4 linked regions of the Drosophila melanogaster genome follow. The protein of the gene in region 3 interacts with the protein of the main gene of each other region in a pairwise test. Each region holds a gene or a part of one and is shown on either strand. Other genes may lie near its edges.

Region 1 (6,745 bases), on a different chromosome or scaffold from region 3:
TAGGACTATACCTCCTATATCCACCATACTGGGAATAAGTGGAGCTATGGGACCCTCGCTGATCATGTGATGATTACTTAAAGCCAGAACCACCGACCGTCGCATGGTTTCAAAACTGGGATATTGCGGTTCGGGAAAGTGCAAACTAAAAAGAAAATCTCAATTGATCGCTAAACAACTGCGTTTAGATACATACCGGTAGATCCTTGCCAGCACTCTCCTCGCCAAAATCTCCATGAACTTCTCCCACATTCCAAAGACCCAGGCCGAGATTCCACTTCGCTGTTGGCCATCATACGGCTGTGGGACATACCAACGCTCCTCGGGATTACCCATAAGGCTGTTGACAAATCCAGTTGGCTGTTGGGTGGAAACTATGGCCACTGGACAATTGAAATGCGCAGCAACTCCCAGCAGATGATCGTTGAAATGATAGCCCAAGAGGAGGAGATCATAGGGAGTATTAGGTTGATTTCTGAGAAACATCTTCCACTCCGGCAGATCAAGCAGATCTCCAGAATGCTCCAAACGCCTAAACATCCGTTCCAGGCGCAGAATGAGGTCCGAGGAGGATACTTCCTCTTTTGGCTGCTGCCAGGGAATGTAAATGTGTGACACATTTCCCTGAATTTCCTGCTCCTCCAGCGGCAATGTGGTGACTAGGGTTAAGTGGTGACCCCTCTGCAAAAGAGCGCGACATACCGCCAAATGGACCATTAACTGCGACCGGTGCACATTGACAAAGAGACCCAAAATGTGATGGGATTCCACAGGGGCTGGGCTATCGGCCAGCAGGAAAATGCATGTGTAGCCCATCCACAGAAGTGACCAACTGATCGGCGAACGCTTCATGACTGAGGCGCTCGACTCAAATTTACATTAGCAGCTAATTAGCAGAGTCGCACGGACACACCATAAATCAATCAAAATGATAACAAGCGATTTGGTTACCCAACGACATCAAGTCGAAAACTGTGGCGTCACGGCGCTGTCCAATCAGAGCCATTAACAAATTTAACAAAATCAAAGAGCACAGTTATTTATGTTTTTAACTATTTATTTAAGTGCTTAAGTCAGATAACTTCAAACCTTACGCCTTTATGTTTCACCCAGTTCATTGTTACATGTATCAAATGTGTCGCCCAGTTTTACACCCCTTATCGAAAATGTGTTAAAATTTCGTTTTAGGAAAATCATAAAAATAGTGATAGGGATAGTTAGTTATATTTATTAGCAGTCATTAGTTTAGCTGTGACACCTTTTTTGGCCAAGTTTTGGAGAAATGAGCGATTGGAAATATACGATTTTCGACAAAATTTCTCTTCGTTCCTTTTTCGTTACAAAAATAACGAGTTTTTTTGCAATAGCAATAAGAATAGTTGTCCAAAACTGGAATGTCATATCTCGTTGAATTCGTAACTTAATTCCCTATCCATATGTGTTGAAACCTGAAAGATCCAAGAGGCTTCAATTTTTTGCAAATTTTGATGAGGGTACCCCTTATCAAAAATGCGAAATTTTGTAAAAATTTTATTTTTGGAAAATCAAAAAACTAGTGATAGGGATAGTTAGGTATGTTTATTAGCAGTACAAAACAGTCTTTATTTTCGCTGTGCCACCTTTTTGGCCAAGTTATGGAGAAATCAGCGATTGGAAATATACGATTTTTGACAAAATTTCTTTTCGTTCCTTTTTGGTTACAAAAATAACGAGTTTTTTTGCAATAGCAATAAGAATAGTTGTCCAAAACTGGAATGTCATATCTCGTTGAATTCGTAACTTAATTCCCTATCCATATGTGTTGAAACCTGAAAGATCCAAGAGGCTTCAATTTTTTGCAAATTTTGATGAGGGTACCCCTTATCAAAAATGCGAAATTTTGTAAAAATTTTATTTTTGGAAAATCAAAAAACTAGTGATAGGGATAGTTAGGTATGTTTATTAGCAGTACAAAACAGTATTTATTTTCACTGTACCACCTTTTTTGGCCAAGTTATGGAGAAATCAGCGATTGGAAATATACGATTTTTGACAAAATTTCTTTTCGTTCCTTTTTGGTTACAAAAATAACGAGTTTTTTTGCAATAGCAATAAGAATAGTTGTCCAAAACTGGAATGTCATATCTCGTTGAATTCGTAACTTAATTCCCTATCCATATGTGTTGAAACCTGAAAGATCCAAGAGGCTTCAATTTTTTGCAAATTTTGATGAGGGTACCCCTTATCAAAAATGCGAAATTTTGTAAAAATTTTATTTTTGGAAAATCAAAAAACTAGTGATAGGGATAGTTAGGTATGTTTATTAGCAGTACAAAACAGTATTTATTTTCACTGTACCACCTTTTTTGGCCAAGTTATGGAGAAATCAGCGATTGGAAATATACGATTTTTGGCAAAATTTCTTTTCGTTCCTTTTTGGTTACAAAAATAACGAGTTTTTTGCAATAGCAATAAGAATAGTTGTCCAAAACTGGAATGTCATATCTCGTTGAGTTCGTAACTTAATTCCCTATCCATATGTGTTGAAACCTGAAAGATCCAAGAGGCTTCAATTTTTTGCAAATTTTGATGAGGGTACCCCTTATCAAAAATGCGAAATTTTGTAAAAATTTTATTTTTGGAAAATCAAAAAACTAGTGATAGGGATAGTTAGGTATGTTTATTAGCAGTACAAAACAGTCTTTATTTTCGCTGTGCCACCTTTTTTGGCCAAGTTTTGGAGAAAACCCCGTACGGGCATATCAGATTTTTAGCATCATCTTTTGCAGCGCTGGAGGAAGCCAGAGTTTTCACTCACCAATAAAAAATGTAACTTAGTAACTTTAGCCAGATTTTCCGTTACTTTTTAAGTTTGCGCTGAACAAATGCAGTATTTTCTAGCTGCCGGGAAAGAAAACCGGATAAAAAAACCCGAGAATCTGCTGTAGGACTATAGGTGTGAAAACCACATAAATTCTGAGTTAGTATTTTAGTGGTTTTTTGGGGCTAGCAAGCTTTGGTCACATCAATCTGATCCCTTAGCGGCGTTCCATTCAAAAACTGCCATTAAAAATTAAAACTCTGGATTGAATGGCGTTATCAGTCGAAATTGAAAGGGTAATGGACCAGGGCAACTGCCTGATGCCCGACATCAATATCTGCCAAAGCGACTTGGCCAATCCCACCGAGCCCATTGTCACCAAGATCATGGTGCACTATCTGCGGAGTTTCGGCTTTCGCCTGGAGCCGCCCTATAAGATTGGCACCGAACTCGGTCACTCGTCGCGGGAGGCGCGCGTCTTTCTTATCCGAGTGTGCCGCCAAGTGGAGCGCATCGTCCAGATCAGCTTTCCCAACAAGACGTACACCTATATGGACATAATTAAACCAGGTGAGCCGGCAGCCGGTCTTACAATAAGCAATTATTATTAAACAATTCTTTGGCTATTAGCTGTTAAAAAAACGCTCGCCACGCTGAGCTACCTTTTCAACCATCTGGCCTACTACAAGGTGTTCAAAAAGAAGGTGCTGGGACCTGTAGAGGAGGCCATTAAGCTAAAGGATTCGCTGACCGCCGAGGTGAAGGCCAAAAGTCAACAGCTGGAGCAATGCAGCCAGAAGACGAAGGATTGCGAAGTGGCCATAAACAAACTCAAGAAAGATTTGCAGGATACTCAAGCAAAGCTTCTACCTTTGAAGAAGTCCTGTAGCGAGCATGAAAACACTCTGGAACTCATTGAGCAGCAGCAGGGTGAGCTGGACAAACGCATCGGTCACTGGGAACAGCTAGTGGTGGAGGACAGTCAAGTGACAGAGCTGCGAGAGTAAGTGCTGTCGGGCAAGCCTAGATTCTGTGCTTATTTTAATGTCAAACATTGTAGGAAAATTAAGAGCGCATCGTCGCATGTCGAGAGCTGCAAGACGGAGCTGGCCAGTAAAAAACAGGTGACGAATGAACATCGCCGGATGATCGAAAACAGTCAACATATAGCCACCGCTTTGGAGAAGGCCACGGCTGTGCTTTCGCTGTGCAAGGTGGATGATTACAAAGAGAGCTTCAAGCAGCTGGAGGCAGTGGAAAAGCAGTTGCCCACCTGTAAAGTTAATTATCAGAAGCTCCTTCAGGATGCAGAGGCCAAGAAGCAGGAACTCGCTCTTTGTGCACATCGGTACGAGGAAAGAAACCAGGAAAACGATGCCGAGAATCACAAGGTGCAAAATGAACTCAAAAAGCTGCAGGTCGATGTTGAGGATCGCAAGAAACGTCTGGAGGATCTGAATAATCACTTGATCGAGCTAGACCAGCAAAATTTGGAGCAAGATCAGCTATATGCCATATTAAATGAGCAAATCCATGAGGTTCTCGGACAAAACTGGCAGATGAATTCCACTTAATATACTGATTTTATTCTATTAATGCAAAACAGCTCAGCTCGTTTTTATGGTTAGGACTGAACAAAGGGGTCGGTGCCGGTTTACGTTTCCATTTTCTTGCTCTCCAAATGGGCCTTCAACTGCTGGCTGAAGTCGTCCTCCACGTTGTCGTCGTCCCAGTTGTCCTCCCACACATTTAGCTCTTCCTCGTCGTCGCCAACGCGGAAATCTACAATGAAAGTGATTAGAAACTGCCGATGTACCACCACATTATTGCGTCCAACCTTCGGCGGGAAACTCTTCGAACTCGTCGTCCTCCTCCAGGAGACCCAAGTCTTCGCTCTTGTTGTTGGTCTCCTCCTTCTCTTTCTCCTTTTCCTTATCTGGGGCAGACATTTTGTGTGCTTTTATTAATTCCAACGGCGATAAAACAATGTTTTTGACGCTATTCGCGTTTTTTGTTGCTAAATGATGCCAGTCACTTTTAATTGTGTGACCGCAGCTGTACCGTCGAAATATACCCAAGTGAACAGGAAAAAATACTTTCAAAATACCGTTGGCACCCGACAGTGATGTCAAATCTAACTTTATAGCTAGAAAAAAAGGCTAAAGAATTAATTAAGAATATTACAAACAAATGTTGGCAGATATTTGGCAACTTGACACAGCCGTTAATAATTCTAATATATTTCTCCTTTTCTAGTAAAAGAATTAAGTAATTAGGCTTTTCACCCGACTAAATTGTGAGTTGAATTCAAACGCAAGCTATTACAATCCCGAAAAAGTTGAAGCACTTTAAAAATGAAGTTCATTTAAGATCTCAAGTTTCTCAGGTTTGTTGTAGACTTTAAAATTGGCTTTATATGCATTTAATGATTTGTATAACATTTTTACGGCTGGCTATTTAGTTTTCAAGCTAAAGGGATTATTGAGCATTTGGGTTTTAAGCTACATTTAATTTAACTGTTGCTGCTGGTTGGCTATTTTAAACAATTAGATCAAAAATGTACCATATGTTAACATTAATAAATATATATGTTATATGCGTATAGTTTTTCATATTGTTTCCGTTCTTGAATTGCTGCCTTTTGATTTATTGCATAGCGAACTTTAAGTTTTGTCTATTTTTGGGCTGGTTTTCGTGCTGTCCGAAATGTAGTAAAAATAAAACATATTTCACAATTTGTATTCTTCCATTTAGTTGACTTAATGGTAAAAATTTTGTATGCCAAAATATATACTCCTTTGTTGCATCGTTAGTTTCGGTTTCTAGAGTTCACAATTTTAACTCTAGTTCAACATTTAACATTTAGTTGTTGCGGTCTGCAAATCTACATAATTAAATAGTTTGTTTGATTTCGTTTGTGTTTACATTTAGTCTGCTAATGTTATATACGAGGAATAAAACACCTTATATTTGATTAGTAATATTGTTGATCAGTATTGTGTGTGGTTTTGGGCTCTCCACTTCGCTCCTTCTCCGTCATTTTTTAAACATTATTATTCATCACAGATGCTCTACGCACAAATCAAATTAAATTCAATGCAATTATTATCATCGTTTAACAATTTGTTACAAGCTCCGATTTTCCGTAATTGCTGTAGCTAAATGGGGCGACAAGTTGGATGGGACACATATCCGTGGGATCGGGACATACATTCATTCATCTGGATTATCCCTGAACAAGAGCCTGTCCTGCTGCTGCCAGCCCACTTAAGTAGTGGTGATCGTTTACAGTGTGTGGAGAGTGGTTAATTCTATTTAGTTTATAAGATAATATGAAAGCTTTTCTAGAAAAAGTGTTGTATCACATATAGAGGAAGTGTTAAATATGTATTCATTTGTTTAGCATTCGGTTTTGCCAACTGTTTTGTTGCTTCAAGTCAACAGTTCGTAACAAGGATTTGCGTTCTTAAATATTAGAGGATATATATGTAAATAGAGTTAAATTAATCAGCTTAGCCTCAATAAAATGCTTTAAAGTAAATACATAAATACGAGCAGTCCGTCTATCCATTTGGACTTCAATTCGGTTATTGTTCAAAAAACATTTTTCAAGATTTTTGCCTCAAGGTGTGATCAAATCAAACACAGAACCTATATTTCTCATTCGTTTTCGAAGAAAAGCACCAATTAAGTTACGCTTAAACACAATAAAAAAAAAAGATTTTAAGCTTGCTTGAGGGGAAAACACATAGTTGTAGCAATAAATACATAGGGGATAAAGTATAACAGCTAAAAATACATCATAAATACTTAGCATAGCTTAGCGTTTCGTGTGCTTGTTTGTTTGTTTGCTGGGACATGTCTGTGTGTTATGTGTTTCACATTTTAAATTTCTTTTTAAAACGCTAGGCGTTCTATAACGGCTTAATTTCTGTTTCGTCTCAC
Region 2 (8,440 bases), 6.5 Mb from region 3:
CAATATTTTGAAAAACGAAATCGATTGGGTCTTGTGGGCCCCTCGGGCCAACGTAACTTACGATCTAGCTAGGGGGATTGAGGCTGTGTGCGAGCCAAGTTCATTTGCATTTGGCTTGCATCGTTAACTTTAAGATTAACTTTAATGATTTGGTTATGTGCATGAGGGGGTTGTGCATCGTCTAGCTGTAGAGAGCCGGGCCAGTCGCGGAGGTCAGGGAGTGTCACGACACCGACGTCGCCAGGAACTCCTGCAGTCGCTGCACTGTGCCGCGGTCCAGCTTGCACAGGTCGAAGTCGAACGTCTTGTGCGTGATCTCGTAGCATCCGGTGGCCGCGATCATCTCCACGACGTGTTGCAACTCCTCATTGTCCTGCAGGGTCATGATCTTGTGGTGCAGCTCCTGAAGCTCGCTCAAATACTCCGTGGGCAGCTGGAGCTGTCCTGGTGTCGTCATCTCACCGGGCGAATGGCTGCTGTTGCTGTTCGTGTTATTGTTGTTATTATTATTATTATTATTTAAGCTCGCCGCCACTGCAGCGCTGTGGTTGTTGCTGGGCGAAGATGATGGTGGAGCAAGGAAACCGGCTCCGGCATTGGGCGTCCCGCCTCCAGTGCCTGTAGAGTTGGTTTCTCTAGGTGGACGCAACGAGGGCGACTTGGATTTTTCGCCCGCCGCCTTGCCCTGCTCCTTTTTCGAGGCCTTAACAGGGGGTTCTATAAAAGCACCGGTGACTCCGGCACCACTGCCACTGTTACTACTTTGTGAGCTTCTTCGATTGCGCTTCTTGTCCTCTTTTTCCGACTTCTCGGACTTGTCCACCTTGGGGTCCGGAGTCTTGTCCGGCTTTTCTGTCTTGTCAGTGTTCTTCTCGAGCGTCTTGTCGTTCTGCTTGGACTTGCCCTTGTGTTCCTTGACAGTAGACTTCGTCTCTTTGCCGGAACCGGTGTTGCCCTTCGTCGGCTTCTGCTGGCTGCTACTCCTGGCGGGTAGGTCGGGAAAACTGCTGTTGGAACTGTCGGAGTGCTGGAGGGTGGCGGCTGCTGCTGCAGCCAGAGCGTTGGTGGCGGCAAGATCCGGCGCCGACTGTGCTGAGTCCATATCGCTAAGATCTAGGTTGCTGGGCGTTTTGCTCTGACCCGACTGTGACTGCTGTGACTTTCCAGTGTGTTTGGTATCGGCTTGCTTATCGACGGCCTCCCGTTGGCGCTTCTCATCCTTCCCAGAGGATTTCTCCTTGGACTTTTTGTGCTTCTCCTTCTTGCTGCCGCTGCTGGCACTAGCACTAACAGGGGTCTTGTCCGGTGCCCCTCCCTCGGTGGCTGGACTGGCCCCCTCTAGTTTAGGCGATGGGTCGACCGTTGATGACTTCTCTGAACCGGTCACATGCTGTTTGTCCTTCTCCCTTTCTTTCAGCTTATCCTTGTCGCGCTCCTTGTCTTTGTCTTTGTCCCGATCGTTGCGCTCCTTCTCCTTGTCCTTGCTTTTTTCCTTCTTCTTGTGCTTGTGGGATTTCTTGGTGTCCGTCGCATTTCCATTGCTTGTGCTCTTATCACCCTTAGATTCTGCGGCCTTTTCGGAATGCTTTCCCGTTGCCTCCTCTTTTTGCTTGCCAATGTTCGAGACCATGCTGCTGCTGCTATTGCTGCCAACCGATGTGGGCGTGGCCTTGCCGGTACTGGCCACCTGGGACTGCTGCTGCAGGTGGGCAGATTGAAGGTTTCCGGAAGCCGGACTGTCGGACTGGCCAGGACGCTCGTCTTTGGGCATTCGCTTGTCTTTGCTCTCATCGCGCTGCTTGTCCTTATCCTTTTTATCCTTCTTGGATTTCTTGCTGGAGCTGCGCTCCTTGTCCTTGGACTCGGATTTGACGGACTTGTGCTCATCGCGCTCTTTGGAACGGGAAGTAGGTGCCACCGCACCAGCGGCTGAATCATTTGCCGTCTTCTTGGGACTGGGCGCACCCATTTCGTTTGGCTTTCCAGGCTTAGGACTTGCTGTGTGCTTAACCAGTCCTCCAGCTGTGCCAACAGAAGTAGCCACCGTAAGGGCGTTGGCAGATGTGGTATTGCCTGAACCTTGCTCGCGCTCACGCTCCTTGTCCCGTGATTTATCCTTCTTAGACTTTTCCTTATCCCGTTCGTGCTTGCCATCGCCGGACTTACTGGACTTTCGGTCTTTGTCGCGACCATGCCGATCTTTTTTGTCCTTCTCCCGCGGCTTGTCTCCGCCGCTGGACTTATCGCGATCCTTGCTCGCCTTCTCCCTGCCCTCGTGAAACACACCCTTTCCGCCAACGGCAGCACTTTTAGCCTCCGGAGAGTGCTTGGAGACAGGCACCTGGGCCATGTTGTTGGCCGTTACGCTGGTCTTCGTGATAGGCGGACCGAAGAGGGCAGAGAAGGCATTGCTCTTTCCGGGATCCTCGCTGCGCGACTTGTGTTTCTTGCCGGTGTTTAAATCCGAGTTCATGGATATTGTACCTGGTACGCCTTTGGCTTTGACACCAGACATCTCATTACTGTGCGCTGTCTCACCGCTGCCAACACTGGGCGAAAGCGTTCGGGCGAGACTGCCGGCACCGATGTTAGCTCCGAACACTGGCACTCCACCGCCTCGCATAAGTTTCGTGCGAAACTCCTCCGACGGCGCCTCGAAAATGTGCGTCTTTACCTCGACGTGGTGCTGCGGTGGACCCGTGGACTGCAGTACCAGGTCGTACTGGTAAACAATGCGCTTGGGTTCGTCTCGGTTGCGAAAGTAAATCTCAACAGGCAGTAGGAAGCCAGCGTAGCCGGACTCCTGAATGGCATACGGCGGTTCCTTGACCACTGCAAATAAACAATTCGGGTAACAGAGTTAATCCGACTGAACTACTCCCATGATATATCGCCGCATTTACCTCGTTTGGGTTTCGGAAAGGATTCGTGCAGCACAAAGACCACCTTCTCCACAAAAGCACTGATGTCCGCCTTGTTCACGCCCTGAACGTAGATCTCCCAGTCGTGCGTAAAGGCCTGCGGATGCGGTGTCTTCTTGCTGCGCAGCTTCGACGTGTGGCCAATTTCGAATTGCACCTTGACCGCCATGCCTGTGGGTAGGGCATCAAGTTCCAGTGATTGCCTGCAATTAAGTGGTGAATTAAGATGCTACGTATTAGCGCGCCAAAACCAATGCAACTCGAGTGTGCAAGCACTTAAGCTTGATGCGACGTAAACAAATGATCGCCAGTTATGTGGAAAGGCCCAATGGATTGCCAAACGAGGTGTTAGCCAAGTATTGCGCTCCTTGCTTTCGCTTCAGTGTGCATGCGTGATTTCTAATGCGAATCCTGTGGCAGGTCACGTCCTCCAAGTCTGCGCCTGGCTTTGGAAACCTTTCAATCGGTCTCAGGATGCCCGCACTAGCTACCACATTTTGAATATCCTTTGATAACCGACGTTTTTTGTTATGATTCGCTTTGCGTTCAATTTGTTATTGTTTGTGAGCGAATGTGTGCCACAATGTGGACTTTTCATGTTGCAAGCTTTCGCCGTGTTTGTGGTTTCCTTTAGCCACATGCCCCCACCAGCCACGCTTTATACTTACTATCGCGCCGTGCGGCATTCACATGGAGATGCGCACAATTTTCAGAAAAAACGTAAAAGCTTGGAGCCAGAATCGAAGTAAATTTTGGAAAAACACAGAAAATAAAATCCAAAATGGTAAAGTGTGACCAAAGTTCGGGGCACCAAAAAATACACTTGAGTCGGGTAAAATATACTAGAATATGCGTTGCGTTTACTTTTTCTAGGGTGGCTCGTGAAATTAGTTTTAAATATGTACATATATCTAGTTTAAATTCATTCAGATTTTTAACTCGATGCATTTTTTAAAGAATAGAGTGCTTTATTTGTTTCTTAGTAGAAAAAGTATAGTTTCTTGCCACATGGTCCTTGGGGCCCATTTCCGCACGGAACTGGGGATGGTGCCGCCGAAGTGGTTGAAGTATCAGAGGAGGCTTCCGTCGTGGTTGTCGAGGTGGAGGATGCAGCGAATCCAACGATGGCGCACAGAAGGAACAGAATGGCGAAGAACTTCATCTTGATTACTCTTTTGTGACTGTGATATTTTCCCGGGGATAGTTGCTCAATTTTATACCTTTCATTTTTAGATTTGCAAATATTGACACAAATGCTTCAATTCCGCCTATGTACCAAATATCAAGAGAAAAGAAACAATTCGGCAAACACTGCGTGGTACTTAAATAATGTGTTTTGTGTTTGTTTAGAAATAGCAACACATGGAATTTCGCTTTTTGCCACTTACAGGTTAAGCTTTTAAGCATAGCACGCGGATTCAGACAAGATGATATATATATGGGAAATTTTTATATTGCATGATCATTGTTTTTAAGGAACCCGCATAAACCAAAATAGTCAGCAAAAGCTTCTGTGATCCGGAACCAGTTCGGCCGCCTGTTTGGTTCACAGCACTTAAAAGAACACTTGGGAAAAACAATAAAAATATTTCGCAAAAGTTATGGCGAACGCTGGATAAGTCAGCCAAAAATTGAATCCATCGGAGCGACTGCCTTGGAGCCACAGCCCACCCATGATGACGACCGACTTCGCGGGCAGCCAGTTCGTGTCCAGCAATCCCAACACCAGCTGTAGTGCATCCCGCTGGCTAACGGAGGAGGTATTTGCATGGATATGCAATTTGAAAATGATTTGATTCACATATTTCTGTTGTTCTGTAGGTCTTTAAACTAATCGAAATTGTGCAGCGCGACGAGGCCATCTACAATCCGAGGCACAAATACTACTTTTGCCGCCCGTACGTGGAGAACTTTTGGCGCGAGGTGGATTTGAAGCTGGAAAAGAATCCGGGCGCCAGTCTGGCCAAGTGGACCAATTTGCGCATCTCGTTCCGACGAGAGTACACCAACTATCTGGAGGAAAAGGTGCCACCCTGCTGGTCCTACTTCGACCGCATGTTCTTTCTGCATCCGTATCTACGCAAGAAGCACCAGCAGCCCAAATCGCTGGACACACAGGTGCAGGACGCCCTGGCACACCTCTCGAACCTTTCTAGTCGTATGCAGCGTGAGCGTTCAGTGACCATTCCGGGCAGCAGCAGTATTGGTGGCCAGCCCACGCCCTCCGCCCACCAGTCACCACCTGCACAGCAGCTGGACAACTATCTGGACTACTTTGACGAGGCGGAACACAACAACTCCGAGCTGGATGACATCATGGAGGAGGAGCAGCAGCGCAACAGTCGTTACCACGGCCAGTTGGACGGCAACGACATTAAGTCGGAGTGCGAGGAGCCGGTGGATGACTACGAACAAGAGGCGCACGAGCCCGAGGAGGATGAACAGGATGACCAGGACCTACACAAGATGGCGCCTACTTCTAGCTCTTCATCGGCGGAGGCCCAGCGTCGTTATGCCAACCAGCATTCACACGCCAGCCGAATGCTTCCGGGTCGCCTCCAAATGCGCACCTACCATGACGAGATGCGTGGCGCTATTCGTCCGCGTTCCCAGGAACTCCAAGCTCCAACTGCAGCAGTGGCCGGGGTCAACTACTCCGCACAGCCGACTGCCCATCCAAACATTTCGTTTGTGCGACCTACTTTCAGCAAGCCCGTGGATTTGGTTAGCACTACAACGCACGCCGGAGGCGGAGGAGGAGGAGGTGTTCCAGGAACTGCTGGCTTATCCGAAGCGGAACTGCCCACACCATCCACTGCGGCCGTGGCCACCCCGATGGCGCCCAGTAGTAGTGTTAGTGCCAGCAGTAGCAGTAGCTACTTGAGTCAACGGCATGGGCACAACCATATGCATGGAGGACATCCACAGGTGCCGCCGTCAGCGCTTCCTCTGCGTTTGGAAGCCAACAACGCGTCCGGCGGATCCGTGTCCAACGGCGGTGCGGAGCTGTGCGACTGCAAGACCGATCCGGATGCCATGTTTCTGATGAGCCTGCTGCCCGACATCCAAAAGCTGAACGGCCGTGATCGCGGCAAGATAAAGATAGCCTTCCAGAACATCCTGCAGGACTACCTGTATCCGGATTAGCGTTGATCTCTGTGTATACCTTCCGCTTAACGCAAACGGAACCCAGTTCCAGTATCGATTTTGTTTAATATTCTCTTTTGTATTTTCGTTGGAGAAAAAAAAAGAATCCTTTAAGCTTCGCTGTGCAAGAACAAAGTATCCTTAAAAACGTTTTGAAAACTATCCGGTATGTTTATTAATTGTATAAATATTTATAAATATTTAATGTGTAACACAAGAATAAATTCATTTGAAATTATGCGATATATGGCTAGGTAACTTGAAGTATCACATGAGGATCGGAATGGGTTGCATCCCATCCTCACTCGAACAGCTTCAGCTCGCGGGTGATCTTCTTGATCTTGTTGTCCAGCGTCTTGTCCTCGTGCTCGCAGATGTAGTAGTGCCGCGAGGTGCACTCCTGTCCGTAGTACACATAGCTGTGCTTTCCGGCATTGTAACTTAGCCGTAGGCAGCGACCCTTGCCCTCTATTTGCACCGTGTTGTTCAGCACATCCTCGCCGGTCGCCTCCTCTGCCGCCTGCTCCGAACTGTCCACCAGATTGGCGGCCGTCGAGTTCTCCCCCTTCTGGGCCATCGCAATGGATGTGAGATTCATGTTGGGATTCACCGGCTTAGCCGAATTGGACCAGATCCAGAGGAGGCCAGGATTGAGACCGCCCAGCCAGTAATCGCGACCACGATGCGTCGGCTGATTCAGCAGATAGGCCATGATCTCCTCATTCTCCGAGACCTTCTCGAACTCGGCCAGGTGGGAGTTTAGACCCTTGCAGGCAGAGTTTGCCGTCTTCCAGTTCACCTGCTGCTGGCTGTTGATGTAGTAGCAGTTGTCGCTGATGCGCGTGAAGTTCGCGGGACAGGGATCCTTCACCTCCTTCTGATTGTTTCCGGCCATCAGATAGTAGATCAGCTGCTCCGAGCGCCGCACGCGACTCTCCAGGTAATCTATGGGTGTTTGCTTTTACTTAGACCAAGAACTCCTAGGTGTGACTTCAACTTACCCACTCGATACACCAACTTTTCAATGGCTCCCAAGAGATAAAGATCATTTTCGGAGACAGCTCGGAATGTGGTCGGCTGACCGCCCACAAGATGTTGCTGTTGCGGGTGTTGCTGCGCTATCTGTTGCACTTGCTGCTGTTGCAGCGGCACTGGTCGCACATGTTGCTGTTGCTGGGTACCGCTACCACCACCACCACCACTGCCACCTATGCCAAAGAGCTGCTGCAGGAAACCCGGTTGCTGGCGTTGCTGCAACTGTTGCTGTTGCTGTTGTTGCTGCATCTGTTGGTGTTGCTGGTGCAACATTTGATTGGTCATGGGTCGGAACTGAGGATTCACAATGGGACTCTGGCTCTCCACGGGCTTTCGCAGATGCGGCTCTAGTTCCACCGCCTCGCCAATTCTCCTGGTGATGTAGATATTGTTGCCGGGTCGCTTGTAGGCGGACGAGTGATAGCTGAGCGGTCCATTGATGCCCATGTCCGCGCCCATATAAGGCAGGTCTTTGGACTTTCGCTGGCTGCCGCTGCTACTGCTGCCTTGGCTATATGTAAGACAGACGCGTGGGAAGATCTGGATGAGTGTGTTGCCCTAGCCTAGCCTCCTGTAACCATACCTCAAGACGTAATCTTCGAGAAATTGCGACCAAACTGGAGATGGATCGTCTGCGTCCGCGAGTGATTCATTGGCGTATTTTTGCCTAGTTTCACCATCGCTGCCATTGCATAAGAGTGCAATACCTAATGCCAGATAAACAAGGGCCGTAAGCCGGAGTTGTTGACCAGCCGGCGGCATGGTGACACGTAATGTTTACGGATGGGTATATTGCCCCCGCCTCGCTAAGCACTTGGCGATTCCAGTCGCGTGGTGAACACTTTCGATTTCGTTGCGTTTTCCGTGCGGTTTATGCCGCGTCCGCTGTTCAAAGACGTCCGTTCGCTTGGGTCGAGCTGAAAACCACGACTGAAGCTCTGCGCTTGACTTTGGGCCTGGTCCGCTCCGCTCGCTGATCGCCTCTTCCTTCCCCTCTTCCCTGCTACCGTCGCACCGCTTCAATACCATGCCAATGGCAATGGCCAAGACCAGACCCAACCAGACCGAAGACCCATTGTTGTTGCTGCCGGCCGCCGAGAAATGCAAAATTTCACTTTCTCCTTCGCTTGGCTGTGGTGGGCAAATGTAAGTCATTGGGCTTTTCATCGGCATCTCTACTGCTCCGCTCGCCGCTTTTGTGGACCGGCCCGGTCCGACCCACTGTTTGTTTGCACTCCAACCAAATTGGCCCAGACTTAGGTAATTGACGCGGCTGTCAATTGAAGCGAAAACTGCTGGCTTAAACTTGAATGAAATGGAGTTTGGTGTGCTGGATG
Region 3 (8,043 bases):
AGAGTTCAGTGCACCAGGAGATCACCAAGGAGGACATCCTAATGGCCGCTAAGAAATTGAGCATTTTTGGCAACGGGTATGGGTCATTACCTCTGCTTGCATTCAATATCACAAGTTTCTCGTTTTCCATAACGTACCTTCAGCTTTGTGGTTCACAAGCTGGGCAAGGGCAAGTACATAGTTCAGTCCATTCCCGGAGAGCTGAGCATGGAGGAGACCAACATACTGAATGCCGCATCCAATACCGAACAAGGCTGTGTTACGCAGAGTCAGCTGATCAAGGATTTGGGGTAAGAATTTCACTTGTACTTTCAACTGAATATCCCTTTGATTTCCGTGTTATCCGTTCTCAGCTGGACCGACTATCGTGCTCAACAGTCACTGGACAAGGTGCTCGGCGAAGGTCTCTGTTGGATTGACAAGCAGGCGGGCGATGAGCCAGCCTATTGGTTTCCCAGTTTGTTTCCCGGTCGAAACGCACAGACAACGGCCGCCACATAGTGTGATCTCGTAGAACTAATTTATTATGTACGAGAGTTATCATAAAATATATATTTGTACAACCGTAAAATCAGCGTGAAGTCTGCTTGGAGCTATCGCCTGCGGCACCGCTCTTAAGCAGTTCGTTTTCCGCCAGCAGCACGGAGTTCTCCTCCCTTAACTTGTAAATTTCCGATTCGAAGCGTTGCGTGATGTCCTCCATGCCCTCGCGGTATTTCTCCTTCATTTTCTTGTGATCCATTATGCAGCGATCCATTTGAGACTTATAGTACATTTTTCTAAAAGCGTTATGATTTATAATCATGTTTGTCATTAATTGTCTATGTTGTATACTCACATCCTGGCATCTTCGGCATCCCCACCGTAAGCTTCAGTAACGGATCGCTCCAGTTCGCCAAGTCGCCGGCAAGTTGCCTCCAACTCGGCCTCCAGCTTATCGTTCTGCTTCAGCACCTCCTTGTACTTTTGCTCCAGGCGATTGCTCCGGGTCTCCAGCATGTGCACCACCGACTTATGATCGACAGCCAGTTTTTTCAGCTAAAATTTGTAAGTGTAACTATAAGTGATAATTATTATACGAATATAGACTTTTACCTTCTCCTTTATGGTGGTAATTATAATGTCCTTTTGCTTGAGCATATTCTTCAGATGGCCCACTTCAACGTCGACGCGTGTGGAGGCCTCATCCATTATGGTACCGATATTGGAGGCTAGGTGGGTCATCTCCTCCTTGTAGGTCTCGGCCAGCTTTGTGGCATCTATTTTCTCCTTGTTTGCCTCTTCGCTGAGTATGATAGCCTCCTCGAGCTTGCGCATGGCGGCGGTTTCCCGTCTTGTGCTCTCCATGAGCAAATTGTGGGTGTGGCTCAGCGATAGTTCGTACTCCTTAAGCTGCTTCTGCAGGATGGACACCTTGGATTGACTCTGCTCGCTATCCTGCAGTTGAGCATGCAGCTGCTGGAGTTGCAATCCGCTGTGCTGCTTGTGATCGTGCAGGGCCTTTATGGTCTCCGCCTGCGTGCGTATCTCCTTCTGCTGGTCCTCAACTTTTGCCTCCAGCACTTTGACGATCTTCGAGTACCGCTGTATGACCTAAAATTGAATTCCGAAAACGTTGAAGTTTACTTTAGGATTTTTCCATTAGTCTCTGGTCCCTAAAACATACGATTTGGTCAAAGCTTACTATAATATGATAATCAATACGGGATTGGAATGATGAAGTGCAATAATACCTGGTCATCTCCAGACATTTTCAATTGGACGCGATAATTCTTAAGATCCATCTCCATGGTTTCGATGGTCTGTTTGGAGAGGTCATGCATGGTTTTCAGGCTGTTCCGTTCCTTGATAAGCTCATCCACCTGCTTCTTGGACGCGTCCAAAGCCTTGTTGCTGAGTTGAAGGCGATGCTTGAGCTCCTGGTAATCGCCGCTAACCAAGATGCTCCTGCATTTGGCCAATTCGATGTCCAGCCGGCGGTTCTCATTTAGAATTTCGTTGAGGTGAACCTTCAGTTCGGCCTGATCCCGCATCAGTCGATCCACTCCTTCACACATTTCCAGCACAAAGTTGCTAAATGGTGAATTGGCTGCGCGTTGACTAACTTTAGTTGACAAATTTTCCTTTGCTCTCCTACCTGAGAATGGCTTGCTGATTTTCGTGTTGTGTCATATTTGTTGTGTGTTTGGAATCATATTATTTTTCACAGCAGAGTTGTGTATCGGGTTTATTGTGTGTTTGTATAGAATTTCATCAATGAACCAAACAAAATGTTTATGTTTGACATGAGACGAGTTTCTGCGATGAAGCAAGCTTTGTCTTTTAAATTATCAGGCATTTAAAATCCTGTTGAAGGCAGTTTGGCTTAGAAATCCATCCGTATCCCCGCGTGCAGCAAGGAGTTCTCTGTATTTCACCGATTTTATGCAACTGGCAACCTTTTGCTGCCCCTCGTCAATCTCTGACAGCCAGCCGCTACCCTTCAAGCAGGTACATATGGATACGGTCTTACTAGCCATTAAAAACCTGGCACGAGTCCTGCCGCGAACGCTGATCCCCTGACAAGTGTCTGTTGTCCTGGGCAACGGGGCAGTGGCAAACAAATGGGGATGTAATCGAAATGTGGTCAACTTTCCGTTTCAGTTGTTTGCAATGCCGCTCTTCAACAAGAAGTTCGAGTCGAAGCCGATTCCAGTGCGTCAGGGACGTTGCAATATAGGACATCCGGTGGCCACCGAGGATCTGGATGACTTCCGCCAGATTTCCCTAACGCTGGGCAACAAGGAGCTGCGTTTTGCGGACGGCATCTGGATGCATTCGACCCGAAAGGGTGACGTAGATGATATGCTCCGGCTGAACAAGAAGTTTCGTGCCCTCGAGGAGGAGAACAATATGTGTAATCTTAAGATCGAGGTGATGCTGGATCTGCTGGCCGAGCGCGACGGAACTAAGTGAGCTGAAGCCAAAGGAAAAGTGATAAAAAAGCTGTATAAAATAAACAAAATATTTGATATACTGAATATTTTTTATTGTCAAATGTTAAAACCCAAGAAACTACATAAATACGTTTTGATTTCACTAATAAAATGCTAAAATCTTAAAAATTCCTAAGCGATGACTAAGGCTGATGAGTGTTTGAGTTATTGGTGGAATCATTCTCGGAATTTACCCACTTAGAGTGGACCTTACTAAGTCGCGAGTACTCAGCTTCATACTGTTGCATTAGATCATCCATGTCTCTCTTGAAGGAAACCATAATTTCTTCCTGCACACCTTTGTACATTTCCACTTGATCCTTGTGAAGTTTTCTTCTATAAATGCCAATAAAGTTAAGTAAATGCTATCATAAATAAAGTTATGATCTCACAATTCAGCTTGTTGTTCCTCCATATCGGGATTGGATTCAATGGCCGATTGTTTCACTCTAGCTTCAAGGTTTTCATCCAGCTTCAAAGCTTCCATATATTTCTGCTTCAAGCGTTCCTTTTTTCTGTGTTAAAAAAAAATGTTCATGTAAATATTATACGTAAATGATTTAGGATCATACAGCAAAATTTGAACTTCTTTATTGGGATCATCAACAGAGCATTCCACCTTGATCTCAGGTTCCATATGCATCACAAAATCTTCATCGAATTTAACACTGTTTTCAATCTTGGGATGGGATTTAGAAATGTTTTGATAAAGCTGGCAGGTATTCTGCATAAAGTAGGTACAGTTTTGATTTCGCTCAGGTTCTCTTTTGAATCCCACCATTGTTGGGGTTAATGATTTTGCAGCCTCATCTATAAAGTTCTTGGATTTAATGCTCAAATTTGCGATGACATCGTTCAAGTCGTCCATATCGTCCTGATTCTGAACCAAAACCTAAAACTTTATATCCTTGGCTTTAAGACCAATAACTCGATAAATTTATACTGAATTAAATGGTGATAGTAAACTAAATGCAAAGGGAACATGTTTCCATTTGTTTCTCGATCACAAAGTAAATCAGTTCGAGTAATAAGCGCATTTGTTTATTTATCGTAAATACCATAAATTTATTTTTACCCAAAGTAAGCTAATTTCGATTAAGACCCAACCACATACTTGAGTCCTATTTATAATGCCACATTAATCAGTTTCACATGCCCATCGGGAAGTTATCAAGTGGTCTGGCTGGGGGGCTTTTGTTGACCGGCCCATTGGGAATTAATTTGGATTTGTTGCGCATTTCGAGCATGGCGAGCATTGGAGCTGCTGGTCAAATTGGTGGCATTGTTGTCGCCATTTGTAGCAATCTATAGACGCCATTTGTTGGTATCGCGGAGTTCCGGCGTCGAGCAGCCGGTGGCTTCTGCTCCATTTATGGGCCGTTTGATAAGCCACCACCACCCGATAAGCTCCGGCTATCGATGGGTTCGCTTGAAACCCATGGCTTATCACCAAAAACCAAACCCACTGTGTGACTCGCACAAGAGCTGTATAAATAACACTTTGAATTTACATGATAACTGGCCATCTATGGCTTAGAAAAGCGTTCGGATTGCCCGATAAAGCTAAGCAGTCCCAGCTATCCGCATTGCCTCTCTAATCTTCGGTTTGATGTGGAAGTGGCAATAGCAGTGCGGGTGCCTTCACTGGATATGTACATAGGTGTCTGGCTAGACCCATATCGGTTCACTCCATCGACTACTGTATATTTACGCACCGATATTGTTATGCGATAAGCAAAACTGCTTATAAAACACATTTATTTTGTTGTTCCCCAGCAATGCCAGAACCTAGAGCAAATGTACACTGGAAGAAATAGGAGGTAGATGTGTATGTGTATGCTCTAAATACTATTAGTACTAACCTTGAACATTCAATTTGCATAAACCAATACACATATTTTATAGCCCTAGTGATTTTATCTTTGGGATAAAAAGTTCTCTTCAGTTTTTCATTGAATTTTCTCTCAGTGCACTGCCCACAGTGGCCGCTGCCGTCGCCTCCGAGGGGTAACACTTGTTCAAATCGTGTATTACAGTAGTTTGTTGATAGCCAGCCCCGCGAACGGAACGCATACGGAAGAAAACGATCGCAAGATCGATGTGGCTACAATATTTACGGACCTCAATAGCCAATTGTTCGGGTGGGAAAGCAGCAGCAATTGGATCTCCAGACGGGGAAAATCTAGAATTTTGCAAAATTCGCGAAAATTCAGTGAGCATCGACAAATTGTGTGTGGCATTAAGTAACCGGAGAAGCAGACCCGGAGTTCCAACTAGTGGAAAAAAAGTAATACACCGTATCAGCGGAAGCAAGGCGATTATGAAGCCGTCGTGTCAGTTGTCCATCTGGTTTTAGCCACAGTGAGTGTGTTTGCTCCTATTTTGATTCCACTGGTCGCGGCCCGGTCGGTAAACAAATTGTCTATTAAACAATCAACTTTTCACCTAATAAATGATATCGTATAAATCAATTGAGTCGATGCCAATCAAGTGGGGCAACACAGATAAATCTCCATCACAATGGGAAGAGATCGCAGATCTTGGAAAATGAAATGCATAAACAAACGTCCCTGGTATTAAAAGTGTTTTATGAGCTTCGTGTTTTGTGGTCGACAAATGATTTGTTCGTGACATACCACGCAAACGGAATATTGAAACAATATAAACGTTTGATTCTCTTAAATATAATATCTTTCTAAATTTCTGTCAATTAATCAAAAGTCTATAACTAATGTTTATGTATTAGGAGATCATATATGTTTCCCAACAATTCATAGCTTTTCGCATCTAATCACACCAAAAAAAAACTATTCGTAAAGTTAGGCCCCTTCTACGCGCTTCTCAATCTATCGAGTGCCCCCGCAAGTTCTGTGGTAGCCGCCAATCAATTGATAAACGAGCATTATCGCTGCGGCAATGATTTATTGTTGCATAAATGGCACTCACTATTTATTAATAAATGGGAAGCGAAATTCTGATAATTTATATATATGAGCGCACCAAGGATTTGTGGCCCAGTGTTTGTGTCTGTAAGCCAATGTAGAGCACCCGTTCGCTTCGAATGGCCAAGTAAATAAACAAAAGTGGATTTTTACACTCATTGCCGACAGCGCACAATAAAATGTGTGAAAAATGTGCTAGAACCAGTGGAAATGCAACCGCGTCGACCAAATAAATAAATAGAAACTTTGAGAGCCTCGTTTGTTTGCTAAGAAATTAAATGAAAATCGATCATTTGGGAAATAAACGAATGGCCGGCCAGCCAGCGGAATTCAAATAAATAAATGCCAAACGATTGTGTGTGCCCCAAAGTAACTAATCAAAGTGTTCGACAGGTTCCTTCGGCGATAGCAAGTGGAAGACAATGTCGCGGATATGCTAAGTGGAAATGGATCCGATGATTTGTGATCTGTGGTCTGGCCGCATTTGGCTATTGATACTCATTTGCCTGTGCGGCTTTCAGCAGTCCCGCTGTTTTTTTGTTGACTATACAGGTGAGTTTAGTTCTTACTATAAGGGTAATTTTAATTTCGAAGATATATATATAAGTACGTGCATATTTTCATTTAGAAGCTCTTTTTGTTACTACACATTTCCGCTTTCATTCGTCAAAATATTCAGAAGGTTAATCGCAATTTCGGGGAGCACAACGCTTGATAAGATACTGTCAATTTGGCTATCATTGACACAGAAAAAAGTAAACATTGCCATTGCCTTGATTGAATGGTTCGGAATTTTTGTTATATCTTTTTTGCCGGTGCAGAGAACACAGAGTTAATTCAACAGAGAGCCGGATTCGATGTCAAGCTGCAGTGCAATCTCAAAGGTCTGGTCGATGAGAGTATGCTGAATGACATCAAGATACATTGGTACTTTAAGGTATGTACTATTATTATTATTATTATTGTTGGTACCCATTGATTAGCATTAAACTATTTCAGCAATGCAGCGAAAACAATTGCCATCAGTTGGGATCTGTGGACGAGTGGACTGCTCTGCCATGTGAGCCGAGTCTTTGTCGTCCGGAACTCTGGCTCCGGAATGTGACGGAGCGGTATTCGGGACTGTACAAATGCAGCATTAATCCGCACATTTGGGATAAAGCCCAGGCTGTGGATGTTCAACTGGTTCGCACCTATCAGCTGGATGTTAAAAGTATGTACAATTTTCATCACCATATATACCATATACCATATCGAAAATTATGTATAAATTCTATTTGTAGACACCTCATTGGCAGCCCCTGAGTTTGTGGACTCGTATCCCAACAACAAGACCACATTGGTGGGCAGTAGGGTGGTGTTCCAGTGCCGTGTTCACAGCGAGGAGCATCCCACAATCAAGTGGTTTCGCCGGCAGACGTACGTGGGAACTCAGTCAGGTGGCGAAGCCTCCTCGGCACCCACAACCTCAAATTTTAGCAACCATATTGTCCGGTACAATGGTCGAACATATGAACTACTGTCCACCGATCCAGAAAAGATGATGGCACCCCAGATATATCTCAGCAAATTGATTCTGGACGGAGTGAGATTACGAGATGCCGGACACTACGCCTGCGTGGCCATCAGCTATCGAGGCCATAAGATCCGCGAGGCTTTCCTGGATGTGCTGGCCGATGTGGAGGATACGGATCAGGAGAATGAGTACTGGTCGGACTACGGTAATGAAGATGAGGGAGTTCCGACTAGCGATCGACGGGAGTTCCTGCTGCTCTTCCTTATGCCACTGGGATTGGCTCTTCTTCCATTGACCGTGTGGTTCAGTTATCTGTTGTACAAACGTTGCTCTGTGGGACACGGCGATTGCCAGCGAATAGATTCGGACGAGGATCTGGACACGGAAAGGTGTGTCCTCGGGGGAAACAAGCATTAAAACCGAATATTTTTGAAGCTGCACTACGCTTATTAAGATTATGGATAAAGACTGTCTATAGAGTTATGAAAAGTAGACTTACAATCTGAAATAAATATATAATTTTTTATGCGAACTTTAGAGCTAATCGAGTCAACTGTAATGCCTACATCAATAAGGACATTTTTAAAAATCTAGAAAACCTATACTTTTA
Region 4 (8,942 bases), on a different chromosome or scaffold from region 3:
CGATGCCCGCTTGGCAACGCTAATTCATCCAGTCTTCCGTCCAGCCAGCTAGACGGGGATCATGCCTAGAATCTACCCCGAACAAGCTGACAACTATTGGCCGAAAATTGCCAAAAGTTAGCCAGCAGCTTCAAAAGCGAGAGCGGATGAGAAGATAACTTGTGCTTTTAAAGCTTATGGAGGTCTCTGGCTCGCTGATTCACTCAGATTTTTTTTGTTCATGAGGCTTTTGCACGTGTAGCACTTTTCAAAGAAATGATCATAATATTAGTTTATTTGTTTGGAATATTTTACCAATGCCGAGTGCCCAACATGCCGTAACAAGCAAATAGTTTGGAGCCTTATCATCTCCTTATCACAAGGTAACGACAACTACTTCCATATTTTTATTAGGCATTTGGGAAACCCTAGCCAAATTTTATTTTAATTAAATCATTTATTTGGGTATGATGTTGCTTGCAGTTCAAGTATACTATGAAGGGCTTAGTATATTACTCACACTGCATGTGCCAGCAACGCCAGATGACATTGTTCAGGCGAATTTTGTCCTTCCACCGAAGTCGTACTCCTTTGAAATGATTCCATTTGGGTGAGGTTAGTTTTTGACTGTAAATTAAAAGTTATTTTGTGTTCAATAAAGTAAAATATACAATTGAGTAAAAATTAAATTAAATATTTTATAATATGGAAAATCAGTTACAAAACAAATAGATTTCTTAGTAAATATTTAATCAATGCGGAGATTACTTTATAAAAATAGACTGACCCTCAGCCCTAAGCCATTTGCAATCTTTTTAAAATCTACCTATATACACGCTTCTGTGTATACATTTGTATCGGTTTTAACAAAAACATCTATTAAATAGTGTGAGTAAATATATATTCAGGAAGAAATGCCTAGTTTCTAGCTAAATTGTTTCCAAGCAATTATAGGGAATTATAGACATAAATTATTCCGACTGTTTTTTTTTTAAATTATTTTTTACCAATTTTTGTTTAAATGGAGCAATATAATATGAAATACATAAAAACTGTGATAAAAGTTTTAATAATAATTGTTTTTAAACCATTTCATATGGTATTATATGTATTTTAATCAGAACTTTAAAAGTGTTTTTGTCCTCATAAAGTAACTTTAAAAATGTTTTTGTCCTCATAAAGTAATATATATAAAGCATATAACTGTGGACGGCAGTTCACATAGGGGCGTCTACTATTGTGGACAACGGTCCTGTAGTAATGAAAGTCCTATACTAAAAGAAATCTTAAACGTATCGAAAGGTATCGCAAAAACTAATAGGACTTTTAAAAAATTAAATGGTTCAACGGAAAAAAATTTGTGAAGATTTAACAGTTGAAAGTACCAGCTAATGTGATATTATTAAACAAAAAAAATTTAAAAACCTTTTAATATTTAAATTTTTGCCCGACCAAGCTATTGAAACTAGAGGACTGTGCTGTGTCGGCAATAATAAGTTTTTTTTCGACTATCTGATCAAAGGTTTGACGAGATAAAAAACTAGCAAATGCGATGAAACAAAAGAAAAATCATACAATGCGTATTTTTAAGAACACGTTTTTCTGTGGGTAATTAATTTCCACTAGATTAAAATTGTCTAAATTGTTACTTTCCCACTTTCTCAGCATCATCTTATGAAACATATGTTCTACCTATTGATAGGTGTACCGTTCTGAAAGGACACCAACATTATATATATACCCGTTATTAGGACCAATAGCCGAATCGATCTGGTCCTGTGCGTCTGTCCGTCCGTATGAACGTCGAGATTCATAATGCAACACACGCCCTAAATTTCCACGACCACATTTTTGAAAAATTGTTGGATATTGTTTTCATAATTTTATTAATCTGGTAAATTTCTATCGATTTGCCAAACCACTTTTTGCAACGCCCAATCTAACGCCCTAAAGCCGCCCATAAGTGCCGCGACTACATTTTTAAAAATTTTTGGATATTTTTCATAAGTTTATTAGTCAAAAAACCACCCCAAATTGACACGCCCACACTTTTGAAGAATGTTTAGATTTTTCTTCGTTTTATGGTTTGTCTTGCCAGTATTATGGTATATCAAAAACCCCTTCTCAGATCTACAAAACGATCATGCGAAACATTTAAGCAATTTTGAAATTTGTTCCTTAGTTTATTCCCCAATATCTATCGATATCGTAGAAAAATGATGCAATTTTGATTTCGCATTCCCACTGGCACTTGTCCCGAATTGGACTTAAATATGTATATGTAAATATGAATGTTGTGTATTAAAAATCATGGAATTAGAAGAGAAACAAAACTTTAAATTTTATTAAAATGGGTAGCCGCTTCAAAAAAAAAAAAAAAAAACAGCAAAAAGTAAAATAAACAAGAGAGAATGCTATAGTCTAGTTCCCCAAATATCAGATACCCGTTACTCAGGTAGTGATTCGAACGCCAAATTTCAAAATTTTTCTGGGATATCGATAGATATTGGGGAATAAAATGAGAATACATTTAAAAATTGTTCTAAAGACTGGCAGCTTTATGGCGTTGAGTGGTGGTGGCAAAAAGTTTTTTTGGAAAATCGATAGAAATTTAAAATTATGAAATAATATCCAACAATTTTTCAAAAATGTGTGCGTGCCAGTTTTGTGCGGTTTTAGGGCGTTAGAATAGGCGTGGTAAAAAGTTTTGTTGTAAATGGATAGAAATGTACAAGACTAATTAAAAAATGAAAAAATTATTCAAAAATGTGGGCGTGGCAGTTTTGGGCGGTTTAGGGCGTTAGAGTGGGCGTGGAAAACAATTTTTTTCCAAATCGTTAGAAATTTACAAGACTAATAAAAATGTGAAAAAATATGATCACGTTTTTCAAAAGTGTGGGCGTGACAGTTTTCAGCTAGTGTTAGAGTGGGCGTGGCAACATGGCTAAACAAAGTTGCGGTTTTAACTTGGCTAAACTTCTAGATTTTATAGGGTTCCTGAGATCTCGACGTTCAGGCGGACATGGCTAGATTGACCCAGCTATAGATCCTGATCAAGTCGGAAACGCCCGTTGCATACTTTTCAACTAATCTAGTATCTAGAATCGTAGAGTAGAAGCGTATAACAATTACGTTGTTCTCTCTTTTAATATGTTATTTAGACAAAAAAAGCGTTTGGAAATGTCTTTCCATCGAAACTTAACACCATCAAAACAACCGGCGGGCGTGCAAAATGAAGCATGTTATAAATTTAAATTTATATTTTTCCTCGTGTATATTGTAGTCGCTAAAGCGCATCCAGGAGAACGCACACTCTCCTAGAGCACTTAGTCACTTAGTGAAAAACAACAATGAAATCACATGGTCGTGAAAAATGTAAGGAAATCCGAATTCGTAGTTATTAACAATACGCGTATATATATGGATCATACAAACAACTACCGTAGCTGTTTTATAGTGACTAAAAACCATCATTATAACAAACAAATTTAAAATTTAAAACTGTATAACACTTTTTTTAAACAAATCCTTTTCGTTCTTTAAAAAAAAACAAAAAACAATAGCTTCACAATTCAGATTTTTAGTTGATAAGGTCTCAGATAATAATATGTTGTAAGCAAATTGCATTTCATTTTGCAAAATTAATTCATTCTGATATTGCTTTGGCAATACTTTAATATTTTCTCTATGATTGCGCTGTCGTTTGCAGAAATGGGAGAAGTAACAGAAAGAGGGGTATAAAGGGTGGCAGAGGAGCGATTGAGGCAATGTGGGGCCAAAGTAACCTGAGCAGCGACGTCACGTCTCAACATGTGCCGCGATTATGGGACCGAAGCGGTCCAAGCTTTTTCGTTTGCTGGATTTTCGTTGGCCAGTTGAGCGTTATCACGCTCGAAACGCGTGAACAAGCGGGAAACAACATTTCATAAATCTTCAGGGCCCCGGTGTTCGGTTGTGGTCTCGAGTACGAGTCTTCAACTCACCTGTAGGCCAGATTCATGCACTTGAAGAGTTTGGTGAGCGAGGTCTCTATCTCCAGGTGGGAGGTCACCATGCTCATGCTGCTCTCGTCGCCCTCCTGGTCCATGGCGCTGAAGTGGGCCACTGTTTGGGGTACGTAAAGCTGCACGTCACGACATGTGTTGGTTGGCTCGCCCGGCTTGCCCAGACCGGGGTCCTCAGGGTCTAGCATCTTCACCTCGCCGTCATCCTCTAGGTCGTCCTGCGCCTCCTCTGCCTCGAAGTGCGAGACCATAAACTGGCCGGAGTGGATAGACTCCCGCTCCGCCTTGAGCAGGTCTGCCGTAGCCTCGGCGGACCCTGACGCCGAAGCACCTACTCCCGTTTCGTACTGCAATTGCTGGAAGTTTTGGCACAGAGACTGTTGCAGATAAGGCTGCTGGTGCAGCTGAGGCAGCTGGTGCTGCTGGTGGGGAAACATTTGGCTTGTGCGTTGGTATCCCTCGTGTTTATTCAGCATCATTTTCAACAGGTGCCAGGGGATGCCTATGCAAATAGTTTACTGTTGAGCCAAAATTTTGGCGGTTGCAGATTATGTCGATATGGCGAGGGCACATTTAATGGTTTTTTAATGTCTCTCGCGTAGTAAAGGCTTTTAAAAGCTGGTGCTGACCCTTTTTTAATTTGGATGGGGTTTTTCCATCATTTCAAAATATGTAAACGTTCGCAGACTATAAAAAAAAATATGTTTTGTCTTGCCTCGTGGTTAACACATTTATTAATTCTCTCATCTAGTGTTTGTCCTTGTCATTCTATTAACTAAATTACTAAAATAAGCGATTATTTGATAGAGACATAGCACGGTTTTAAGATTTTGATTTGTTTACAATGCCCGACACCTTCAGCTTTTCGTCATCGACACCTGTCCAATTGTTGCTTTTTCCGGAGCGAAGCTTCTCTAATGGCAAACACGCCCCGCTTTTGCCGTTATATGCGTCACACAGCACAATAACAACAATTTTCGCACACACACACACACACACAATCGCGGCGGGGTTGGCTGGGGATACGGACGTCAGAACGAGACGTCAGTGGCCGCTTGTAGCTCCTTGAACAGATAGTGAAGCCCCAACTACTCGTAAACACACGCGGATCTGATGGAAGGCCAACAAGGCGGGCAGAACCAGCGCAGAACGATCGGTTTCATTCCACAAACAGAACTGATCGGAGAACGAAGCTGCGAAACGCACATAACCTGTGCGCCGCACACAACACAACAATGAACAGCTGACGCGAAATCTCTCTCTCTCCCTACCTCGCTAGCGTTGCTTATCAGCTAGGAAAACGTACATACATATGTATATGTATGTATGTACGTGTTCTTCTATATGCGCAGATGTCAGGCAGCAATGTTGTCCCCCTCTCCACTATTACTATATGGAGCTCAGTCGATTTGACTCCTGGCATTCGGCCTTGCCATCCAGAGTATGCACTCCACAAGCAGTTCTGTGTTTGCACTTTTGACCTCTGGCTCAGCGCTGCCTTTGCATTTTGCCTTTTTCCGTTCCCACTCATATACACGCGCATGCACGCGCACCACAATTTCGGTACAACTGCAACTGCCCCCTATAGCAGAAACACGGGCAGTTAGCAGGCACGACGGACTACCAATACCACGCACACACGCGCAACACAAAGCTTCTACGTAGTTTAATCACAATATAGCACACATTAACCTATTGCGGGTAGCGAGCCCTCACCATCCCATCAGGGTTGTCAAGCATTTGGTGGCTCTGATAAACAGCACCCTCTTCCTAAAAATGGCTGAAAGCTGCGAGCCGAAAAACGCAAGAATGAGCATAATCACCCCAAACGTAAAGATTGGGAAGGGCAGCATACGAGGTCATATGTTTCCTGCTCCGAAATTGCAATACAATGAATTTAGGACGGCTATTTCCCGTAATTAGTTTCCAGTTTTATGGAATTGCTATTATATCTTTTTCCGACAGCACCTTGAAACCGCATCAATAAAAAGTTAATGCGTTGAGACTAATAGGAAAAACTAGAATATATACATATATTATACTCAAATGTAATGTGTTTTTTAAACATTGTTGTGCTTAAGTAATTAGGAAAAATTATGTAAAATGGATATTTTCCCTTTATGTTCACTATATTGTTTAAGTTAGAGAATAGAATACCCAGAATAAAATTAGTGATCACACATCAAAAAACTATCGATAAACATTGAATTAGTTCCGGTTAAAATTTAATAATAAGTATTCAAACTGCACACCTTGTTACAAAGTAGTGTAACTGCCTAATTCTTTATCAGCAGACTAGAGGATTTCGCACTCCCATGTTCTTTTGCTTAAATACCTTTCTCGGGCTTATATTAGACATTATACTTTCAGAGAATTTTTTCATTTGTACTGTTAGAAGGTTCTTAATGAAATTGCTGTTCAGTTCAAAATTTTTATATAGTCATTTAATAATACTTTACGAATGATTTTGTGCGCTTTAGATTTGTGAGAAAAAGGGGTGGGATTATTTAGTAGAAAGTAGCAAGGCATTTCCCGATCTGGTAACACTGATTCCAACACTCATTACCGTTCCAAATGAAACGCAAAAAGGTTCAATTGTTATTTTCTCTCACGATTTCGGCATTTATATTAACCTAAAGATGGCTCTATAGTTTGCGCGCAAGCAAAAACAAGCAGCACCTAGGTGCCCAAACACAACAAAATGGAAACGTATAAAAATCAAAAGTGAGTATACACCAAGCTAAATTCTCGCTAATTTCGCAATTTATCACGCACACTGCCGCACTTGGCGTTCTACTCATTCATTGTTGCTGCACGTGTGTTGGTGGCATTGCCTTGTATGGATTTTCAATTGACCGGGCGAACGTGGCAAATCAAAACTCAGTGGGGCATGCCACCTGGTAAAGGTAAAGAAATTGGCTGACGCAATCGCCGACTGGAGTTGAGTAATGTGCGTTGCAAGTCGCCTGCACGTGCGAAAATGAGATGACTCACCACAGTAAGGACTACCCCAAGCGGACACAGCCCAGGACAGAGCTGTTTAAACCGGCTGCGCGATTGCAGCTCTACCCTTGCATTCTATATTTACCTAAAATGTTAAAACATAATTACTATATTACTAAGCTAGAGGGGAGAAAGAAGTTTTCAAAAAGAAAATTAAAATCAAAATTTGCGTGCTTAATCTCAACTTTTTTGGTGGTGGACACGGCAATATTGACTCTTGGTAATAAAATGTTAAAAATACATTTATCTTTCATAGTTTTCAATGAATGTAGTCTACCCTTAGATTAATTTGAATATAAGAGGTACAGTAAAATGATTAAAAGTGTTTTTAAAAGGGTAGCGACTATTCATTATCACTATGACTCGTGATAAGTCATTAAACAGCTGTGGGCTGAACAGCGAACCAATTAATCATAATTAATTCGTTTCTTTAATTCTCAGCGCCATCATGGCATTTTCACAACAACAAAACACACCGCGAAAACAACCATTCTCATTCTTCGGACCGGATTTCATACTCTCAAAACAAAACATATCTTTGACCCCTGATTTGAACTCTGGATATGGACGCGACATTTCACCAAACCATGGAGAGCTTGCAGTTGCCCAAGGAGCTGTACTGGGACCTCAAGATGGAGCCACAATCCCCAACATCGGTTTTGGGCTCCGATCTGTTTCCGCTCACTGACTCAAACGATACGGAGTGGCTGTATGACGATAACTTTGCAAATGGTTTGTGGTGCCTAAAAGTTTTTTTGAAAGGATTTTTAAGGATTTTAATTTAAGGCATTACTCTTATTGGCGATGATGAAGCCTTGACCCTGGAAGAGGTAGCTTCTCTCCAGTTGCTTAGTGATGAGGAGATGGTTGTGGAGATCTTTGACCTGAAAGATGAAGGTAGGTATATTTTAGTGTGCTTACTTTTTTGTACATAATAATAATGTAAAATAATAAATGTTCTTGTAACTGTAGCTGAGCGCAAAATGTAGATAAACCCATTTGCGAGGAGGTCTTAAACCCATAAGAACGACCTCTTAGAGTTCTTATTAAAGCACCCAAATGTTTGCTAGTCTTACATTTTTCAAAGTCCAAAATAACTTTATTTATAACTTGAAGCTCATAATATTAAAGCAAAGACCGTTACTATGATTACTATGATAAGATAATTGGTAGTTATGCCTGATACTCGTAGATCAATGGGAAACTAGGCTCATTGAAATCTAATAAATAAAAGTAAGCTTTTCCGACTCTATTCAATTACTAGCCGAGTCGATTTGGCCATGTCCGAGTGATAATCAAAATCTCAGGAACAACAAGAGCTAGAAAGTTGATATTAAGCAAGCATACTCACGACCAATTATTTGAAAAAGGGATTACATTTCTATTGATATTCCAAAAATATTTGAGAACCTTAAATTGTCCGGATCTTTATATTAGAAGTTTTTAATAAATTGAGTTTTCAATTAGATACAAATATCTTAAATAAATACACCTATGGCAAATCAGTAAAAATGAAATATTTAGATATTTGCAGGAGCTTTGAACGTCTGCAAAATTCCCGCAAAAAAGATCTTTATATAAATATTAAAACTCAACTTTTGTTGTATAGAGCTCTTTCTTAATAATTAGTGTAGATCAAGTGGATTTCATTGTCTGAGTCATTAGGGTCTCGCACATCGCATTTGAACCTAAAATTCCGACAGGTAAAGTTGAGGAACCGGTTTCAAGTTTGCTTTGTTTTCGTTAGCGTATGTTTCTGGTATTTTGGCCCTCTTTAGCTTGAGCATGAGCGTGTTTTTGTATTATGGTTTTCACCGTGCATTTTATTATTGTTTATCAACGGAGCGCCAAGCAAGCGCTGTAATGGCCAATTTCCAGGCCACAACAAAGACTCAGATCAAGCGAGAGCAATGAAATCAGTTTTTGATCGGTTTTTTGCGTACTTGATCACGCGTT

Evidence for each region.
Region 1: the proteins of CG6569 (region 3) and Sem1 interact in a two-hybrid assay, tested with the Drosophila melanogaster proteins (one large-scale study listed by BioGRID).
Region 2: the proteins of CG6569 (region 3) and CG6276 interact in a two-hybrid assay, tested with the Drosophila melanogaster proteins (one large-scale study listed by BioGRID).
Region 4: the proteins of CG6569 (region 3) and Mondo interact in a two-hybrid assay, tested with the Drosophila melanogaster proteins (one large-scale study listed by BioGRID).

Annotation. Positions count from the first base shown.
Region 1 is NT_033779.5:7,062,090-7,068,834, reverse strand, and holds Sem1 (suppressor of exocyst mutations 1), read right to left. Parts: upstream 4,850-6,745; 5' UTR 4,750-4,849; coding exon 4,638-4,749; intron 4,583-4,637; coding exon 4,455-4,582; 3' UTR 4,375-4,454; downstream 1-4,374. Other genes in the region: Ugt307A1 (UDP-glycosyltransferase family 307 member A1), read right to left, coding at 1-145, 197-852; Nuf2, read left to right, coding at 3,070-3,370, 3,431-3,803, 3,861-4,374. UniProt on the Drosophila melanogaster protein: Subunit of the 26S proteasome which plays a role in ubiquitin-dependent proteolysis.
Region 2 is NT_033777.3:15,316,068-15,324,507, reverse strand, and holds CG6276 (uncharacterized protein), read left to right. Parts: upstream 1-4,438; 5' UTR 4,439-4,594; coding exon 4,595-4,681; intron 4,682-4,742; coding exon 4,743-6,068; 3' UTR 6,069-6,305; downstream 6,306-8,440. Other genes in the region: ear (ENL/AF9-related), read right to left, coding at 224-2,832, 2,904-3,090; CG44040 (uncharacterized protein), read right to left, coding at 3,901-4,083; CG14866 (uncharacterized protein), read right to left, coding at 6,370-7,013, 7,070-7,614, 7,687-7,865.
Region 3 is NT_033777.3:21,865,672-21,873,714, forward strand, and holds CG6569 (uncharacterized protein), read right to left. Parts: upstream 2,249-8,043; 5' UTR 2,173-2,248; coding exon 2,138-2,172; exon of another isoform or gene 2,074-2,137; coding exon 1,734-2,073; intron 1,684-1,733; coding exon of another isoform or gene 1,681-1,683; exon of another isoform or gene 1,656-1,680; coding exon of another isoform or gene 1,623-1,655; exon of another isoform or gene 1,594-1,622; coding exon 1,096-1,593; intron 1,039-1,095; coding exon 839-1,038; intron 780-838; coding exon 572-779; 3' UTR 502-571; downstream 1-501. Other genes in the region: lsn (larsen), read left to right, coding at 1-76, 144-290, 354-501; CG31174 (uncharacterized protein), read right to left, coding at 3,119-3,311, 3,368-3,490, 3,548-3,843; CG31431 (uncharacterized protein), read left to right, coding at 6,364-6,469, 6,739-6,854, 6,917-7,130, 7,201-7,850.
Region 4 is NT_033779.5:21,304,326-21,313,267, forward strand, and holds the start of Mondo (mondo), read right to left. Parts: upstream 5,726-8,942; 5' UTR 5,614-5,725; exon of another isoform or gene 4,614-5,613; 5' UTR 4,463-4,613; coding exon 3,963-4,462; intron 607-3,962; coding exon 500-606; intron 1-499. Other genes in the region: crc (cryptocephal), read left to right, coding at 7,550-7,718, 7,773-7,883.